Danio rerio: one gene and its partners. The protein of the gene in region 2 binds, or shares a complex with, the protein of the main gene of each other region. Links are inferred from orthologs where the notes say so. Each region holds a gene or a part of one and is shown on either strand. Other genes may lie near its edges. The genes, in order: exosc5, exosc3, exosc6 and exosc4.

Evidence for each region.
Region 1: exosc3 (region 2) and exosc5 share a complex: the UniProt entries of both Homo sapiens proteins name them as parts of the RNA exosome core complex. The link is inferred for Danio rerio from reciprocal best matches to the Homo sapiens genes EXOSC3 and EXOSC5.
Region 3: exosc3 (region 2) and exosc6 share a complex: the UniProt entries of both Homo sapiens proteins name them as parts of the RNA exosome core complex. The link is inferred for Danio rerio from reciprocal best matches to the Homo sapiens genes EXOSC3 and EXOSC6.
Region 4: exosc3 (region 2) and exosc4 share a complex: the UniProt entries of both Homo sapiens proteins name them as parts of the RNA exosome core complex. The link is inferred for Danio rerio from reciprocal best matches to the Homo sapiens genes EXOSC3 and EXOSC4.

The regions. Positions count from the first base shown.
Region 1 is NC_133193.1:38,982,965-38,988,565, reverse strand, and holds the start of exosc5 (exosome complex component RRP46), read left to right. Parts: upstream 1-1,925; 5' UTR 1,926-1,929; coding exon 1,930-2,059; intron 2,060-2,198; coding exon 2,199-2,312; intron 2,313-4,770; coding exon 4,771-4,892; intron 4,893-5,601. Other genes in the region: bckdha (2-oxoisovalerate dehydrogenase subunit alpha, mitochondrial), read right to left, coding at 1,506-1,619. UniProt on the Homo sapiens protein: Non-catalytic component of the RNA exosome complex which has 3'->5' exoribonuclease activity and participates in a multitude of cellular RNA processing and degradation events.
Region 2 is NC_133189.1:58,544,502-58,550,157, reverse strand, and holds the start of exosc3 (exosome complex component RRP40), read left to right. Parts: upstream 1-2,199; 5' UTR 2,200-2,210; coding exon of another isoform or gene 2,211-2,444; 5' UTR 2,445-2,956; intron 2,957-3,151; 5' UTR 3,152-3,837; coding exon 3,838-4,110; intron 4,111-4,563; coding exon 4,564-4,715; intron 4,716-5,656. Other genes in the region: tcerg1a (transcription elongation regulator 1a), read right to left, coding at 1,449-1,495. UniProt on the Homo sapiens protein: Non-catalytic component of the RNA exosome complex which has 3'->5' exoribonuclease activity and participates in a multitude of cellular RNA processing and degradation events.
Region 3 is NC_133182.1:29,203,336-29,207,756, reverse strand, and holds exosc6 (exosome complex component MTR3), read left to right. Parts: upstream 1-1,965; coding exon 1,966-2,781; 3' UTR 2,782-2,906; downstream 2,907-4,421. Other genes in the region: slc38a8b (putative sodium-coupled neutral amino acid transporter 8), read right to left, coding at 978-1,039, 1,813-2,222. UniProt on the Homo sapiens protein: Non-catalytic component of the RNA exosome complex which has 3'->5' exoribonuclease activity and participates in a multitude of cellular RNA processing and degradation events.
Region 4 is NC_133177.1:2,087,153-2,092,611, forward strand, and holds the end of exosc4 (exosome complex component RRP41), read left to right. Parts: intron 1-237; coding exon 238-444; intron 445-3,033; coding exon 3,034-3,393; 3' UTR 3,394-4,221; downstream 4,222-5,459. UniProt on the Homo sapiens protein: Non-catalytic component of the RNA exosome complex which has 3'->5' exoribonuclease activity and participates in a multitude of cellular RNA processing and degradation events.

The DNA of each region.
Region 1 (5,601 bases), on a different chromosome or scaffold from region 2:
ATAGATATTTTATATAACAAATTATTTGTTCTTTATTTGCACCTGTTTCCTTTTTTGTAATATAAAGGTGTATTGATAATGCCAAGTTGTACTTTACTATATGTTCAATAAAAAATAAATGAAAAGTAAAATTAACAAAAAAGTTGCCATTAAACAGGGATAATAAGAAGAAACTTGACTGTACAAAAAAAAAAAAAAAACAATACAGAAGCTTAGCTACTTGTCCTGATGGGTAGCTTTGTAGGTTATCAAGGTTTCTACAGGTTTCTCAAAGTCAAATTTAAGACTTTTTAAGACCTTTTTAAGACCCTTATGAATGAAATTTCAGACTTGTACAGGACTAAACCGTAAAGATTTGTGCTTGCCTCATTAAAAAAAAATCTAATTACTTAATACTTAAATGTGTCAAAACAAGCAAACCATACATACTTTTCTTTGACAAGCTTTAAAAACTTTATTAACCTAAATGTACAATAGTCTTTTTAAGGTCAGTGTCCCCGCCACATATGGTCTACAAATCCCCGGAGAACATAAAAAAGTTATTATGAGGAACCATATTGTTAAATAGAGTTTTGTTAAAAGTTTTATTGGGGTGTGTTATTGGTGAGTGTATACTGTATACAGGTGTTGGCCTGATTTGGGAAGCTTTACATGGATATTAGAAAATTACAACCTATTTGTAATGATTTAAGACCTACAATTCAATATTTCAGCAAATTTAGAACTTTTTAAGGACTAAAATTTTATTTTGAAAATGTAAAACATTTTAAGACTCTGTGGATACCCTGTCAAAGTAACTTCCCCAAAAACTGGCAGGGAATAAAGTGAATTACCCTAAGCTAGGGATGTACACTGCATAAAAAGTTAATTCTCTTTAAATTTGTGTGTATGTGGTTTGCATATTGATAAAGTCACATATTCGCATGAGAAGAATTTACTATCACCTGTAATTTAAATGTGCACAAGACATTAGCTCATAATTAAGATCCACTTTAAATATGAAACAATTTAATAATGCAAATAAGTTGTAAAATGTAAAGATTTTTTAATGACCCATAACAGTCAGGATTAGTGTTGTTTTTTTCATCCACACGCCCCCTTCAACTAGCCAATCAGCTCTGAGTATAAATCCACAGACATGTGAAGGTTGAAGGATCCATTAACTGTTACCTACAACAATCTTCAGACATCTGACCACTAGTTATTGCATTTAAAACAATCATGACCATGTGACATTGAGCACTATTTCTTTTGTAGGTCAGATGAGGAACACCTAACTTATACATTAGCATTTACATTATTAAGACAGTTCAGTAGCTTTTATGTTTGAAACTAGCATAAAACGTCTTTATACAGATGTTGTTAATATTAGTCTCATACAATTCTAGGAAATGTTTTCGGTCTCCCACGGCTACACACACTTCATACAACCTGAATGGCAAGTTTTGCTAATGTTAAAAGTCCGTTGGTGGCGTATATGCAGCTGCCATAAACGTAAGACTTACATTGACGCGGAATCCCCTTTGTTGGAGAAGCGTTGTTGCTTTTAATGCTGTGTTTTGACGAATTGCATGAAGCCCAATGCCATATAATTTCTTCACAGCTCTAGCAGCCGCCATCTTTACGTCAAGTGCGTGTCTCTAGCGTCTTTTCCCTCCTCGTCTCTGGAAATCCAACACACTGCGCCCCCTACAGGAAAAATGTTACTCCTCATTTTTACGGTTTTGTCTGAGAAATGTATCCTTTTATGTACATTTTAAATTTGATTGGGGTCACGGTAGTGTGTATAACTAAAAGGAACAAGCAGAAACGTGCTTATAAAGTCGCTATACATGTGTCATTACATCCTTAATTCCGTTAGAGGGCGTAAGTGCACTGCTAACATGTGTCATGTCGTCATTATTGTGCGCTCAAAACAATGACCCATTTATGGATGCGACGAGCAGATTGTGCATGAGGACCGAGATGGAGCTGGAGCGAAGTTGTCCAGTTTTAAGAGAATATGGAAGTGAACAGAGTTTGTTATCAAGACCTGACGGGTCGTCCACGTTTGTACAAGGTAATTTATAAATGTTTAATGTAATTTATTTCTTTACTCATGTCATAGCAGTTATTTATCTGTCAGGCCAAAGAATATCCAGAGATCTATTCCATTCATTTAAATATGTATCGTTTTGAATTTGTAAATGTGTTTTTAGGGGACACGAGTATCCTGGCTGGAGTTTATGGACCAGCTGAGGTTAAAGTCAGCAAGGAAATATATGATCGGGCAACTGTAGAGGTCCTTATACAGCCCAAAATGGGGCTTCCAAGTATGTTTTTAAACAGTTTTATTTGCAGCCATATTTTGACAGTAATTGCATTATTTATTAATATTTTTTAATAAAAACGTGTACATGCAAATATATATATTTAATCGCGTCATTGGAATGGAGTTTAGTTTTAATTAATTTAATGTTATATGTCATGTTATGACAATATTACAAATTTATAAAAAATTACCTTTATCTTCAACAAATCAACATATTTGAAAGATTTTTTCAACACATTTCTAAACATATTAGTTGTAATAACTCATTTCTAAAAATGGATTTATCTTATCTTTGCCATGATGACAGTAAATAATATTTGACTAGATATTTTTCAAGACACTTTTATCCAGCTTAAAGTGACATTTAAAGGCTTAACTAGGTTAATTTGGTTAACTAGGCAGGTTAGGATAATTAGGCAAGTTATTGTATAACGATAGTTTTTTCTGAAGATTATCAAAAACAAAAAAAAACAAAAAAAAAAAAAAAAAAACAAAGAGACTAATAATTTTGATCTTAAAATTGTTTTAAATAATTTAAAAACTGCTTTTATTCTTGCCGAAATAAAACAAATAAGACTTTCTCCAGAAGAAAAAATATTATCAGACATACTGTGAAATCTGTTAAACTTCATTTGGGAAATATTTTTAAAAACAATCAAATGGGGGTTAATAGTTCTGACTTCAACTGTACATTTACACTACTGGTCAAAATTTTGGGGTCAGTAGGATTTTTAAATGTTTTAAAATAAGCTTGTTCTGCTCACCAAAGCTGCATTTATTTAAACAAAAATACAGGACATATAGGACAATTGTGATATGTTATTGCACTATAAAATAATAAATTATATTTTATATAAAATCATTTATTCCAGTGATTTTACACATAAATTGTCAGCTTCCTTTAGTCTTCAGAGTCATGTGATCTTTCAGTAATCGCTCTGATATAAATTGTTATTATTATTGCTGTTATTATGGGGGTAATGGTAATAGTAATAAAAGTAGTAAAGTCTGGAATAATAACTTCATTTGAAACTACACACAATAAGAAAGCAGTTATTAATTAATTTTTTTTATTTTTTTTTACTTAATAAATGCTGCCTTGATGAACAGAATCATTTTCTTTAAAAAAATCGATATGAAAAAGTGTGTGAGATCTACATGTCTACATGTATATTCATCTATTTATTTTTTGCTTTGTATTATTATCATTGCACTGATGTTGGATTAACTTAAATCTGTCTGCATTTAGCATATCAGCTATAATGTGAAAGACTGATACAGATAATTAATAATTAAATAATAGAAACGCATTGCACATCTTTTGAACAATCTAAAGTTTTTACAAAATAACAAAATACAATATATATACAAATATCAGGCATGAATCTTTTATGTGCATTATGCCAGTTGTGCACTGGAAAAGCAGCTGGTGTGCACCATTAGTTTGGGTTAGTTTGGGATAAAACATCTTTCTTGTTCAAAAAAAAAAAAAAAGATTTAGTTTTTTTTTTTTTAAAGCAGAAATATGTATAATTTACAGATAGCAAACTGCACTGGCTTTTTTCGGTTATTTCAGGAAAGTTCTATTATAGCAAAATTGTTTAGTGTTATTAAAAGAAAATCCCCTAATCACCTTTGAACATTGTCATATTGCTTTTTTTTGTCTTAAAACGTGCCTCTCTTAAAATGTTAGACATTTGAATTTTGAATGGATCCAATCTATATTCAGTTCAATGAATTTAACTGAGTAAAAAGTAGCTTGTACTGTATGCAGATGACTAATATTTTGATATATTGGCATGCATTTCTAAAACATTTCATTGTTTCTTAAGTATGTGAAGTTGTTGGACACATTTCCTTCTGCTTTTTTGAATTGATTTATTCAAAACTGTTGGACTTATTTACAGTATTTAAGGCAAGTATGTTAGAAGTAACTGCAATTAAATTACCCATCCATGAAAAGTAACCTACTACTTTACATTTTCAGTACAAAAGTAATTACAGTAACACGTTACTTTGTAATTAATTACACCTAATATGTCCCAGACCAAACACTAGCCACTTTGTTACTAGTTACTAATTACACCCAATATAACACAGACTAATGCAACATAAATATGAATTGTTTGTCACTTTTTTATTTAATATAATATAAGAAACAATTACCTACATGAGTATAAACTGTTTAAAGGGAGTCTTAAAACTACATGTCAGGAAGAAAATGTTATGCCATAAAAAATGTGTGTCGTTTATGTAAATTGTTTTTATTTAGTCAGTGTTTTATTATTACTAATTATTATTATTATTAATGTTTAATAATACACATATACAGCTCATACTAGAATAGTAAACATAGTTATAATTGCATGGCCTGCACAGCCATGTTTCAGCATTAGGTGTCAGTCTGGTACAGTATTTTTTTAAACTTCCTCATACTGTGGTGCGATGTGTTGTGTTAGGTGTCCGCGAGCGAGCGAGAGAGCAGTGTGTCCGTGAGACTTGTGAAGCTGCCCTTCTGTTGACCCTTCATCCACGCTCTTCTCTCACGGTCATCCTGCAGGTCGTCCACGATGATGGATCTGTATCCTCAACACCAGCAAAACTCTTCTTTATAAATGCAAAATGAAGAGGGGGCAAATATGATGTGTCCGTGGTTTTATTGTTTGAACTTTTTAGTCACTTACCGTTGAAGGGAGGAGTTTGTTTTGAATATTTAGGGTTGAGTATTAAAGATTAGTATGTTTTATTACAATGAATGTATTAAAACGAAAAAAGTGGCAATATAGACTAAACGTACAAAAAAATTGAAGATTTGAATAATTGGCTTCTTTTAATACTCTTCAATTTTATTATGTTTTAACGCTTGTTAGGAATGTTTTCATCCACTCTGGGGTTATTTTGAGTCTTAATTTGGCCACAACTTGTTTCAGCAAGCGGAATGATTTTGGTGACATTTTATTTTGACAAATTTTTGCAATTTAAAAAAAAAAAAAAAAAAAAACCTCAACAATAGACTCAGCAGGGCAAGTTTACTACACTGGTCCTTTTCGTTATGTTAGTGGCTGTTTTTGCCCTATTGATTTCCATTATAATGACATTTTTTTGATTGCAAAGTCATGAAACCATATTGTTATGCATTCTTGATTGGTGGTGGTTTTTCTCTTTTGAGAAGAGGTACAATTAGTAATTTTTACTGTTGGCCATTAGTTGCAGTGTAAAAAAAGCATTAGTTTCTGGCTTTTATATAGAGTATTGTGTGAGTGTAACCAAGTGTAAGAGCACCTTTGCGT
Region 2 (5,656 bases):
TGAGGAAAACTTAATTTTCTTCATGGCAAGGTTGACATTTGCACGGAATTGCTCGTATATATATATATATATATATATATATATATATATATATATATATATATATATATATATATATATATATATATATATGTATATATATATATATATATATATATATATATATATATATATATATATATATATATATATATATATATATTTGGCATGGGACGACTCAAGGTATACCATGGTTTGGGAAAGTCAAGGTTTTAAAACCATGAAAATTTTCCGCTATCCCGTTCCTAAGGTATAAATAAGATTTCTTTTTTTTTTTTATTAATTTTTGTTTTGTTTTTAAGGACAGCAGTATCTCCAGCAGAAAATATAATCAAAGATTCTGTTTTAAACTGGAAAAATATTAGTGTTTATAAAAAAACAAAGACTGCAGAAGTGAATGATTCATTAAAATGATTTAGCCTGACATGTTTACTGCTCTAAAATATTTTAAATGTTTCCCAAAATAGAATATATATATTAAAAAAGGAAAAAAAAGTTTAGTTTTTTAACCAGAGATTTAAAAAGTAAATATTTCAGAGCAGTGAGCACAATAACATGATACTGTGAAACCGTGATATTTATGTCCAAGGTTATCATACGGTCAGAAACTAATACCAGCCCATGCCTGATACATATCACCATAAACATGACAGGCAGCGAGTCATATCATAGCATCATGTGCAGCTCTACTGTAGCACTGAGGAAAAATTACTTAAATCAAATAATTGTTGTTAGGAAACTGGCAATGTGACAATTAAAAAAAACACAAGTGGCTCAAGGAACATGTCCATGTGTTGAAGGAAATCCTGCATATCCCAAAAGCGTCAACAACTCATTTTCAGCCAAAAGCAAAGTTCCAGCCTTTTCACAGCACATCACCTGCATTAAAACACCGTAACGCGACACTGTAATCCGTTACTTTCGAGAGAAACTCTCCCCAACACTGTTAATAACAGATACACACACACCATAAACACGCTGAAGACGAGCAGAACACACACTTTAACCCCAGATACTGATGATGGAGGAGTGTCTGCACTGACTCCTGCATTGCTGAAGGTGTTCATTACAGTACACCTGAATCTGAAGCACTGACTCCATCATAAACACACTGTCCAGCTGATCTCACAGCCACATCACACCCTCTACACACTGACAGGGTTATTTCTGAGACTCGGTGTGTGTCCTCAAGCTCTTATTCTCGGCGGAAACTGCGATATAAACACAGTGAGGCGACTGCTGCTGTGCTGCTTTCATTGTCCACCCTCCGACGGGCCAGACGAGGCTAAAACCCACTCAAATCTGCCTTATTGGAGACGAAGCCCAGAGGAGTTTCGGGATAAACTAAGGCGAATGATAACCGGGGGTCTGTGTTTATCTGAGAGGGAAAAATAAAGCGAAAACTGCACCTGTTTGCAGCCAGGCCGATGCCTTCTGCCTCTGTGTGCTCCGCCATAACGGAAATGCCACAAAAGTCCCCATTTCCCGCTCAGCGGTTTTCAAACTTCTGAAACATCGTGACTTTTATTTCCAGTATGAATTATTTAACTTAACTGGTAAAAAATATGCATTTTTCGGTATAGTCCAGTAACTTGGCCAACAGTTTTGGTTACCAGAACGTTCCTATTTAGTTAAAGTTATTTTAGTTATAGTTTTAGTTTAATTAGTCCCAAAAATAACCTAAATTAAAGGGGAAGATTTGTGTTAGCTGGAATGTTAGCACGTTCTCCCTCTCTTTATCCAGTTTTTGATTTATTGATTGTTTTTACGATTTAATTATATTTCGTTTTTAAAAACAATCAAAGACTAAATATTAATAAATGGGGTAGATCTCCTTAAAATAAATCCTGCCATCACTTACTCAACCGTTAACGTTACATGTCCCAAACCGGTTTAATTCCATGTCTCAGTTGAACACAAGTTATTTAAGCGTTGGAAACCAGTAACGTTAACTGTTGACTTCAATAGAATTTATTTTCTTATAATGGATGTCGATGGTTACCGGTGTCGAATGATATTAAGAATGCTTTTAGAAAAATCTTTATAATATATTTCTGTTGTGGACATAAAGGGTTGGAGAGGTTTTAATGAGTTAATTTGTATAGGATAAGAGTCCCCGTGCCGGAAGTGCTCAGACACGTGTGTTTGTGTGTGTTTTCCGCTCCTCCATCATGGACTCCTCAGTGCACACTAGTCTGCTGGAGAGGATAGGAGATGTGGTTCTTCCAGGCGATCTGCTGTTCTCCTTCAGTCCTCCTGAAGCCGGAGACGCGAACCCGAAAGCGGACAGGCTGATCTGCGGCCCGGGGCTGCGGCGGAGCGGAGCGGAGATCCGTGTGTGTAGAGCAGGAGTCCTGAAACACAAACAACCCAACATGTACTGGGTCAACTGTCAGCAGAGACGGGTCAGAACACACACACACACAACATGTGCCAGCACACACTATTGTTCAGAAAATTCACTAACACACACTACAGGGCAGAAAACACACAATAACACACGCTACTAGCCATAACACACAACCTAACACACACTACTAGCCAGAACACACAATACCACACACTACTGGGCAGAAAACACACAATAACACACACTACTAGGCAGAACACACAACCTAACACACACTACTAGCCATAACACACAACCTAACACACACTACTGGACAGAACACACAATAACACACACTACTGGGCAGAAAACACACAATAACACACACTACTAGGCAGAACACACAACCTAACACACACTACTAGCCATAACACACAACCTAACACACACTACTGGACAGAACACACAATAACACACACTACTGGGCAGAAAACACTCAATAACACACAATACTGGGCAGAAAACACTCAATAACACACACTACTGGGCAGAACACACAGTAACACACACTACTGGGCAGAACACACAGTAACACACACTACTGGGCAGAAAACACACAATAACACACGCTACTAGGCAGAACACACAACCTAACACACACTACTGGGCAGAACACACAATAACACACACTACTGGGCAGAAAACACTCAATAACACACACTACTGGGCAGAAAACACACATTACTGGGCAGAAAACACTCAATAACACACACTACTGGGCAGAAAACACACATTACTGGGCAGAAAACACACAATAACACACAATACTGGGCAGAACACACACATTACTGGGCAGAAAACACACGTTAACACAATACTGGGCAGAAAACACACTCTAACACACACTACTGGGCAGAAAACAAACAATAACACACACTACTGGGCAGAAAACACAACCTAGAACACACTACTAGGCAAAACACGCAATCACACACACTACTGGAAAAAAAAAAACACACCACTAGGCAGAAAACCCAACCTAACACACACACTACTAGGCAGAAAACACACAATAACACACACTACTGCCAAATTGGTTGACATCGCCCAACCCTACTAAATAAATATATATATATATGAGTGAGAGAGAGAGAGAGAGAGAGAGAGAGAGAGATAGAGAGCTGTATACTACGTTTGGTCTATATAAATCATTTATTTTAGTCATCTTAAAGGGTCAGTTCACTCAAGAATGAATATTTACTCCCTTTCTCAGCGTATTTTTAAACCTTTACATGTTTCTTTTTTTGTCAAACACAAGAGAAGATACTTTGAAGAATGCAGAAAACCGGTAACCATTGACTTCCATAGTAGGAAAAACAAATGGAAGACAATGGCTCCAGGTTTCCAGCATTTTTCTAAATATCTTATTAGTGTTCTGAACGGGTCTGGAACAAGTAAAGGGTGAATAAATGACAGAGTGTTCATGTTTGGGTGAACTGGCCCTTTTTAACACTGCACAGGTCAGGATGTGTCGTGGTGCTCCTCTATCTGTGCTGAAGGTGTTCCGGACTGACCTCTGCTCTTTCCTGCAGTATGTTCCAGCTAAGGGTGAGAGTGTGATCGGCATCGTGACCGCAAAGTCTGGAGACGTCTTCAAAGTGGACGTTGGAGGAAGTGAGCAGGCGTCTCTGTCCTACCTGGCCTTTGAAGGAGCCACCAAGAGGAACAGACCCAACGTGCAGGTACATGATGACAGAGCCACTCCAGCAGCAACAACTCATGATCAACAGTGAAATGACAGATCGACCCACAGGGAAGCAGCAGCAGTCAGTAATGCAGGATGATCTGCTGTCAGGGCTTCACCGTCAATAACTGTGATTATAATGGAAGTGAATGGAGCAACAACAGACAACATAACCAAGCAGAGTCAGTGTGAACACACACACACACACACACACACACACACACACACACACAGTGTGAACAGTGTGTTGATGAGTTATGAAAACTCTCACAGCATTTCCCCATAATGTGTGTCAGACTCAGATTATTCAGCAGAAATCATCACATTTACTGAAACACAGAGAAAGAGGACAAATGAAGACTCGACATCAACCCAGAGTGGAGGAAAACAACCCAGCAAAGTCGTGTTCGGTGTGTATGAGTCCTCCTAACGCTGCTGTTTGCTCCTCCAGGTTGGAGATCTGGTGTTCGGGCAGTTCACCATCGCCAACAAGGACATGGAGCCGGAGCTGGTGTGTATCGACAGCTGCGGGAGAGCCAACGGGATGGGTGTGTTCGGAGGCGACGGGCTGCTCTTTAAAGTGTCGCTGGGACTCGTGCGCAGGTCTGACCTACAGCTACACACACACACACACACACACACACACACACACACACACACACACACACTCAACAGCACAGGCAGCAGGGAAAATAAGAGTTATAGAAACACACTTGTGAAGCGGACGAGTGTTTAAACACAGTGTCTGGTGTATTAGGACAGGTCAAGCCAGCACACACTACTGATCAGAAAACACACACTAACACACACTACTGATCAGAAAACACACACTACTGATCAGAAAACACACACTACTGATCAGAAAACACACACTAACACACACTACTGATCAGAAAACACACACTAACACACACTACTGATCAGAAAACACACACTAACACACACTACTGATCAGAAAACACACTATAACACACACTACTGATCAGAAAACACACACTAACACACACTACTGATCAGAAAACACACACTACTGATCAGAAAACACACACTACTGATCAGAAAACACACACTAACACACACTACTGATCAGAAAACACACACTAACACACACTACTGATCAGAAAACACACACTAACACACACTACTGATCAGAAAACACACACTAACACACACTACTGATCAGAAAACACACACTAGTGATCAGAAAACGCACACTAACACACACTACTGATCAGAAAACACACACTACTGATCAGAAAACACACACTAACACACACTACTGATCAGAAAACACACACTAACACACACTACTAATCAGAAAACACACACTACTGATCAGAAAATGCACACTAACACACACTACTGATCAGAAAACACACACTACTGATCAGAAAATGCACACTAACACACACTACTGATCAGAAAACACACACTACTGATCAGAAAACGCACACCAACACACAGTACTGATTAGAAAACACACACCTGTGTGGAGCACACTTATGCATCATACTGTTAGGTGTAGCAGTGTGTGTGTTACTATA
Region 3 (4,421 bases), on a different chromosome or scaffold from region 2:
CAGCTAGAAGGACATCCGCTGCATAAAACATACACTGAATAAGTTGGCAGTTCATTCCACTGTGGCGACCCCGGAATAATGAAGTGACTTGGCCTTTTTGCGCTGTGGCAACCCTGAATTGATATAGGGACTAAGCCAAAAAGAAAACACACATATGGGGGTGCTTGGGGTGTTTTTTGTTGCCAGTTTGATTGGGCCCCCAAATAGTAACTCTGGGGGTCCAAAAAGAGTGCATCTTCCCTGCATAGTTCTTAATCGTTCTAACCTTTTCCCCCTGGCGACGCCCCTGCATATAGCCAAGTTTCATGAGTTTCACTCATTGTGATTAAGTATTTTTATAAGATCCAGCTAGAGAGGCCCATGGACTGTACAATTGTAATTAGCCTAAACCTACAGTGCTCAGCTTATATAAGTACACCCCTCACAAATCTCTCTTTTAAATTCATATTTGTAATAGGAAGCTGTACAATATTATATTTGTGCATATACAATAGATTAGTCAGTTCTGAAGCCTATCCAACAAAATAACAAATTTTTTATGATACAGAAAAATATTAAATACAAATTTTAAAAAGAGGAAAAATCAAGAGAAGCAAAAAATAAATAAATTTTGTTGAAATTGTGTAGGTTGTAATTTAATTTTTTAATGTTTCACTTGAATTTAATTGTATAATATTTTAACTTCTAAATATGTTTTGTGACTAATATATTATTTTAATACATATTTCTGTTTATTAAATCTGTTTTGTTTAAAAGCACCAGGATTCATTGCCTATATTCACTGAGAAATGGATAAAATTACAAATTTTCAAATTGGGCTGTACTCAATTATGCTGAGCACTGTATATACTCAACTGCCACTCAAAAATTAAACGAGCTATTTACATACAGTAGAAAACTCAATGCATTTAGTCATGCCGACTTTGAGGGAAAGGGATGTGATGCATTGTTGATGGCAGAAGTCAGAGGACATTTACCTGTTTTGAGCTGAAAGGCAACAGTCAAATAACTCTCTTCAGGCAAGATATGCAGACCATCTCTGAATGAATACACAACATGTCAAACCTTGAAGCAGATGAGCTACAGCAGCAGAAGAGAACATGATGCTACTCCTGTCAGCAAAACAGCAAACTTAACCTAACACTAACATGGTTTACCGAAATTGGACAAAGGAAGCTTGAAAAACTGATTAGGTGAGTCTTGATTTCTGCTACAACTTTTGTGGAGTCAGATTTTTGATCTAAACAACATTAATGCATGGATCCATCCTGTCTCGCATCTTCAGTTTAGCCAGCTAGTAGTGTAATGGTGTGTGTGTGTGTGTGTGTGTGTGTGTGTGTGTGTGTGTGTGTGTTTGTTAATTTGTGCTGCTATGTTGCTTCTATATGCTGTATCGTGTAACTGCTATCATTTTGATTCTGTATTGGGCAAATGTCTTCTGTCCAACTTAATTATCTGTCTTGACTGTCTGACAATGGGAAATGACTGTTCGTTGTGTTGCTGCTATTGTAAAATGTCCACATTATTTCAACAGTTGGTATTTACATTATTAATGGTGTGAAGGATGTTTCTCTGCATACTTCAGGCCTATCAAAAGTAATAATACAAACAGCACCGTGTATTGAGCTATGGTTGCAGACTGCAAGTCACATCAGTGTTCGACTATCTACACTGCAGCAAAATAGTAATATCCAACGTGTTGAAAAATGGCTAAACTAGGTCTACATTACGTCTGTCAAATGAACTATTTCATTCCTGACTTTAAAACATGCACATCACATCTAACAAAGCATAATGTCTTTGCCACAGCACATTTGCCACGTTATCCCTATCCGGCAGAGGGCAGCAGCGCGCAAACAGCATTTGATTGCAGCATCCCGAAGCATTTGATTCCTCGAGGAAGACTGAGTAGTTTCACCGCTGCAAAGTAAGCTATGCTCTCGTAAACACGTGGGTTTATTAAAAATGCCGGTTGACACAAAACGTATTCGTGGACCGGAAGAGTCGCAGTCCCCGTTGCTCTTTCTGTCCCCGGACAAAGCCCCTAAAGCCCCCAGCAGCAGGCAGGGCGTCCGCGGGAACGGAGATGTGCGGCCGGTGTTTGCGCGCTGCGGGCTAGTCAGCCAGGCGAAAGGCTCCGCGTACATCGAGGCTGGAAACACCAAGATCATCTGCTCGGTGTACGGGCCGAAGGAAACGGAACGAAGGGACGAAACGGACATGAAAACCGGTCGGCTGGTTTGCGACTTCAGGCTCGCGCCGTTTTCCTGCGTGAAACGGGGAGCCTGGATCCAGGGCAGCGAGGAGAGAGACCTGTCCGCCACTCTGATGGAGAGCTTGCGGCCGGGAGTTTGCCTACACAGATACCCGCGCTCTCAGATTGACGTGAATGTCATGGTTTTGGAGAATGACGGCTCGGTTCTGGCGCACGCGGTGACCTGCGCTTCGATGGCCCTGGCGGACGCCGGTATCGAGATGTACGACATTGTTTTGGGTTGCACGCTGCGGCAGAGCGGAAACGCGTGTCTCGTTGACCCGTCATACGCCGAGGAGTGCGGGAGCTGGCAGGAGGGCTACGGAGACAACCAGGGGTGCGTCACCTTGGCTCTGCTTCCCAATCTGAATCAGGTGTCTGGCCTGAATGCGGACGGGGAGATGCGGGAGGACACTCTGACCGAGGCTATGAGAACCTGCATGGACGGCTGTCATAAACTCTACCCGGTGGTTCAACAAGCGCTGACGCGGGCTGTCAAGAAGAAAGCGCCTCCGCCTGAGAAATAGACTTTTGTTTGGCGCTTCTTTTTGAGAACAGTTAAAATGATTACAATTGTTGAAATTTTGTACATTTAAATGTGTAATAATGTCGAACCAACTAAATAAACTCCTCTGCAGTTTTATCTCCTCTATGATCTTGTATTTGTTCATTTCAGTGGTGTTGCTGATTTTGTATTCAGATTATTTCCCCCTAAACGAAAATCTCCTGTCGCACCCTCAATGCCATCCATGGTGTAGATCAGGGGTGCCCAAACTTTTTCTTATGAGGGGCCAAAAAAGTTGATTATAGGTGGTGAGCTGAAGTTAAATAAACCAAAGTATTACATTACAGTTGCCATGGTAATTACCTTATTTATTAATATTTAAAATAAATTGAAAGAATACTGAAATCATTAATAATTATATCTTTTTTGCATTTTATAATGAACATCTTACAATAAAAAAACAATCCTCTTTATAACAATAATGTTCACTGCTGAATATATTCAGGACACTTGATTTGCTCATCAAGGACTCTTACTTTTTTTTTTTTTAAATGTGATTCATGCACAACATTTAAGTGAAACTTTTAATTTCAGTTGCTTTTTTTGCAACCCAACAATTAAATGAACAAACAAAAGGTTACATTAAAATTAGAAATGACAAGCGCGCGGCATGGCACCAACCTTTTCATCATTCTCCCTCACTTCTCAGATAGGATGGCAGGCCGTAGTTTGGGCATCTCTGGTCTAGATGGCTTTTTCCTTTAGTAGAATATTTAAGATATTTAGATGAAGCCATTGCCCATGGTCAGTCGTAAAATGCAAGTCAGTAGCTTGCAGCACTTTCATAGTCTGAAAAACACAGGCAAAACAAGTTAATACCCGTGGTTCTTTGGGTTTCTATGAAATGAATCAACTGTTCTGTGCTAGAAAGTAAATGTTATAAGAATATTACCTTAATCTCTGCAAGATGCACAGACTCTGTGTTGGTGGCCGTGACTAGAACTATTATTTGAATCACCATAGGACATCTTTAATTAAGTAGACACCTACTTCTTGGATAACCCAAGTATGAGCAACCAGCACTTTTTTTATTTATGAGGTAACTGCCCCTTTAAACAGGGTTACCACGCTTCCTAAAAGTACTTGAATTTCAGACAAATAAATTCAAAACAGAACAAAACACTGAGAAATTTAAATTCTTTCATTTCAATATTGCACAATAAAACTGACAAATTAATGCACATTCAAGTTTTTTTCAACATCCAAATCAAATCACTTTTATTGTCACATAATGATTTGATTTGTTAAAAAAAAACATGACTGTTAAAAACGATTCATTTTTGAAAATTACTACATTTAAGCATAAATATCTAACAACAAGTCTAAGTGAAATACTAAGTACAGTTGGTGTATGATTTACAACAGCGATTTATTTAAAATTAATGGTGCTTTAAAAAGTACTTTAAAGTCTTTGAATTTGCTGTTTGTGGAAGTGTGGGAATCCTGTTTAAAGAACTGAAAATGAATCAGTAATAAAAAAAAAAAGGTTTAGATGTTACTATCGGTATGTTAGTCTTAATGATATCTGTAATCTAGTGTGCTCCAAAACAGTGACAAATTTGGCAATTAGAAAAAAACAAACAACCAAAAACGAACCTAAAT
Region 4 (5,459 bases), on a different chromosome or scaffold from region 2:
TTTCCGTATGTTTTTAAGTATTCGTGGATTCAATATAATAATATAATTCTTAATTAGTTAAACTGTCTAATATAATTGATTAAAATGGTGCTGTGAATAATAGACAATAATTATTACAAAACACTCAGGCCAGAATCTCTGCAGTAACGTTGTCCAACGTGTCGGTTATGTGTAACATCCAATATTTTATCATCGTTTAACTGAATAACATGTTGGAGTTCATCTTTGTCCCTGTAGATTCGAGGCTCTCGCAGTAAATCCTTGCATGATCGCGCCATCATCAACTGTCAGTACAGCATGGCCACGTTCAGCACGGCGGAGAGGAAGAGACGTCCACACGGAGACCGGAAGTCCAGCGAGATGAGCCTCCACCTCAAACAGACCTTTGAGGCTGCGGTGCTCACTGAGCTCTACCCACGCTCACAAATCGACATCTACGTCAAGGTACATGGACTTCTTTACGTTCATGCCGTTTATCATCCATCCACTCACCTGCCCAATTTTGCATCCACCAATCTCTGCATCAGTCGTTGATCTATTCTTAAATGCCCCCATGCATCTGTGCTTTCATTCATCCATCACCGTAAATCATATTGTATATTGATACTGAGTGCACTTTGGATGTTTTTAAAAACGTATACCAAATCATCCACACATGCATCCATCTGTGCATCCATCCATGCATAAGTTAATTCACATATTTGTACACATCTTAACATCCAGTGATCCATGCATGAATCGATCCGTCCATCATCATTCAAGCACATCCGTCCAAGCCTTCATCTGTTCATCCACTCATCCATCTGCTCAGTTGGTCATATGTCCAACCATACATCCTCCCTGGATTCTATCTGGAAATTCATCCATCCACCCACACCACTATCAATCCATGCATTTATTCAGCCATCAATCCATGCATCCACCCAGTTATCCATCCCTTCATGCATCCGCCCAACTATCTATCCATTCATCCATCCACCCACCCAACCATAAAATCACCAAGCTATCAATCCTACCCTTCATCTACCCACCCAACAGTCCATCCACCCACCCAACAATCCATTCATGCATCCATCCACCCAACAGTCGATCCAACCATTCATCCACCCAACTGTCCATGCATCCACATAAATATCCATCCATCCATGTATACACCCCACTGTCAATCAACTCATCCACCCACCCAACTATCGATCCAACCATTCATCCACCCAATTAATTATCCATCCATGCATTTACCCACCCAACAGTCCATCCATCTATGCATTCCCCAACTATTCATTCATCCAGCATACACCCACCTACCCATCCATCCACGTACCCAACTATCCATCTATCTATCCATCCACCCAACTATCCATCCACGCACCCAGTTATCCATCCGTCTACCCACCCAACTCCATTCATGCACCCACCCAACTATTCATCCATCCGACTTTCCATCCTCCATCTGACTATCCATCATCCATCCGACTATTCATCCATCCAACCACCAACTTTCCATCCCACCAACCACCTAACTCCATCCATGCACCCATCCAACTATCTTTCCATCCAGCATACACCCACCTTCCTATCCATCCACATACCCAACTATCCATCTATCCATCCATCCACGCACCCAATTATTCATCCATCCACCCACCTAACTCTATTCATGCACCCAACTATCCAACTATCCACCAACCCAAATTCATTTGTGCACCCACCCAACTATCCATCCATGCACCCACCCAACTATCCATCCATCTATCCACCCAACTATCCATTCAACTACCCATCCATCCATCCATCCATCTCTGCATCCATCCACCCAACTATCCATCCATACACCCACCCAACTATCCATTCACCCATCCAACTCCATTCATGCACCCACCCAACTATACATCCAACCACCCAACTATACATCCAACCACCCACTCAACTCCATCCATGGACCCACCCAACTATCCATCATACATGCATCCTGCATTCATCCACCTAACTACCCATCCATCCACACACCCAATTATTCATCCATCCACCCACCTAACTCTATTCATGCACCCACCCAACTATCCAACTATCCACCAACCCAAATCCATTTGTGCACCCACCCAACTATCCATACATCCAACTATCCATCCATCCATCTGACTATTCATCCATCCGACTATTCATCCATTTATCCACCCGACTATTCATCCATCCATCCACCCAACTATCCATCCCAACAACCAACTAACTCCATCCATGCACCCACCCAACTATCCATCCATCTATCCACCCAACTACCCATTCGTCTATCCATTCAACTACCCATTCATCCATCCATCTCTGCATCCATCCACCGAACTATCCATCCACACACCTACTCCCTATCCATTCACCCATCCAACTCCATTCATGCACCCACCCAACTATACATCCAACCACCCAACTATACATTCATCCATCCATCCACCCAACTATCAATCCAACCACCCACTCAACTCTACCATGGACCCACCCAACTATCCAACATACATGCATCCATCTATCTTTGCATTCATCCACCCAACTACCCATCCGTCCAACCATCCATCCACGCACCCAACTATCCATCTATCTACCCAACGCTATTCATGCACCCACCCAACTATCAATCCATTCATGCAACTATCCATCCATCCACGCACCCACCCAACTATCTATCCATCTACCCAACGCTATTCCTGCACCCACCCAACTATCCATTCATAAATGCAACTATCCATCCATCCACCCACCGACTCCATCCAAGGATCCACCCAACTATCCATTCGTCCTCCACCCAATTACCCAGCCATCCACCCACAATCCATCAATCCATCCATCCATGCATGCATATTGGCTTTAAATTATTGTGATAATTTTTTCTGTTGAACGTAAGAGCCAGATCAAACTATAACTCATATTATTACAGTTGCAGTACATGACAAGATTCCAAAGACACTTTAAATACTATTACAATTCACATTACATGTAACTGACTACAACAGCACCATGTCTTTGATTTGTCCTGCGCTGTAGATCCTGCAGGCGGACGGTGGAAACTACAGCGCGTGTGTCAATGCTGCTACATTGGCTCTAGTGGACGCTGGGATCCCCATGCGCGATTATGTGTGTGCGTGCAGCGCTGGGTTTGTGGAGGACACCCCGCTGGCAGATCTGTGTCATGCAGAGGAGAGCGGTGGAGGAACAGCGCTGGCTCTGGCTTTGCTGCCTCGTAGTGGAAATATTGCCCTGTTGCAAATGGACGCCCGGCTCCATCAGGACCACCTGGACACACTGATGGAGGCGGCCATGACGGCGTGCAAAGAGTTCAGTAAAGTTCTAGACAGTGTCGTACGGCAGCATCTAGAGGAGGTTTCAGATCTGACCAGAGATTGAGATGGAGATTTAATGGACATCTATGGAGTCAGATCAGTGTCAAAAATAATACATTTACAAAATATAATTTGCTTAAATATGATTCAGAAATACACAAATCCAATTCATTTGGTGAAAATATTATATATGATATTCACTGGTGAATTCATGAACTGTGTGTTGCGTTTATGAATAGTGTTTTGATTTTATGAATTGGATTATGTAATTGTGAATTGTGATGTATGAACTTTTAGTAAATTAATTATTTTTGAGACTGATCTGACTCCATAGGAAATGCTCTATTAATTTGTTATTCATTTAATCTTTGAAGCATGCGCTTGGACTGAAAAAAAAAAACAGATTTGATCGACATGTATGGAGTTAGATCAGTCTCAGAAATAACACATTTACAAAATATAATTCACAAGTTTAAATATAATTAAAAAATACACAAATCCAGTTCATTTGGCGAAAATATTTATGATTTTTACTTGTGAATCTATAAACTGTGTGTTGTATTTATGAATTGTGTTTTGAATTTACGAACTTAATTTTATAAATGTGAATTGCGCTATGCATGTATGAATATCATTTCATAAATGTATTATTTTTGAGACTGATCTGACTCCATAGGAAATGCTTTAGTCATTTATTCTTCATTTTAGTGTCTGAAGCATGCGCTTGGACTGAAAAACACACAGAATTGATAGACACAGAAAAAAATAAGTTTATATATCAGCTTATCCAGAAGAAATGCCACCTAAAAAGCGCTGAACACATTTTGTTATAATAATGTCCTCTGTTGTGAGAGAGTTGTAATAAAACAATGGTATGTTTTTAACAAATGAACACTTTTCCTTTTGTGTTTTATCAAATTAACCATTATTTAATCAGATTTAGTACTCCTAATAAACAGTGGGGATCGAAAGTTTGGGCGCCCCAGGTAAAAATTTGAATTAATGTGCATAAAGAAGCCACGACAAGATGGAAAAATCTCCAAAAGGCTTTAAATTACAGATTAGACATTTTTTTAATGTGTCAAAAAAGTTAAACTTTATTTCCATCATTTACACTTTCAAAATAACAGAAAATAAAAAAAAAAACATTCTGGGAACGTTCTCTGTAGGTTTTTTTTTTTTTTTTGGTAACCAAAATATAACCTTCCCAGAACGTTCTCTGCAGGCTATTTTCAATGGTTAATTTATTACCTACAGAGAACCTTCCCAGAACATTCCCTCTAGGTTTTATTTAGGTTTTTTTCATAACCTTGAGAGAACCTTCCCAGAACGTTCATTGTAGGTTAATTTTGGGATCTATTTTATAACCAAAAGAGAACCTTCTCAGAACGTTTTTTTGTTGATTATAATATCTTGAACTGCCGCCTTTGGCAAGTATCACAGCTTGTAAATGCTTTTTGTACAATTTTAAGTTTACAGTTTACATTTCAGATATAACTTTGTTTCAAATGTTACACTCTAAAAAAACGTTGAGTTATTTATTTAACCCAATAATTAAGTTAAACATATTTGGTGCTTTGTTGGGTTATTTTAACCTTTATTATGTTATTTATTAGTAACTCAACCAGTTGGGTTAAATAGTATGTGCTTTGTTGGGTTATTTTTAACCTTTATTATGTTATTTAATAGTAACTCAACCAGTTGGGTTAAATAGTATGTACTTTGTTGGGTTATTTATATCATAACTCAACCAGTTGGGTTAGAATTTTTAATTTCAACAGTCAACTGATTTAACTGACACAGAACAGCTGTATTAATATGTGCGCTTAATGTTGTTTTTGCATTCTAAAGTTTATTTAAGCTCTTAACGCAATAATATTGTTGTCTTTAGCACCCAGCGGAGACATTTATTTATTTACACTATCATAATTATAAAATTAATAGTAGTAATAGTAATAGAGTAATACCAGAATGAAAAAAAAACATGTATTTAAAATAACCCAATGCATTGAGTTAAAATACCCCATAGTTGGGTTTAATGTTGGGGTATTTTTAACCCAACTATTTTATCAGAGTATGAAAAATGCACAAATACAATCCCAATACAGTAAAAAGAATTAAATTGGAAAA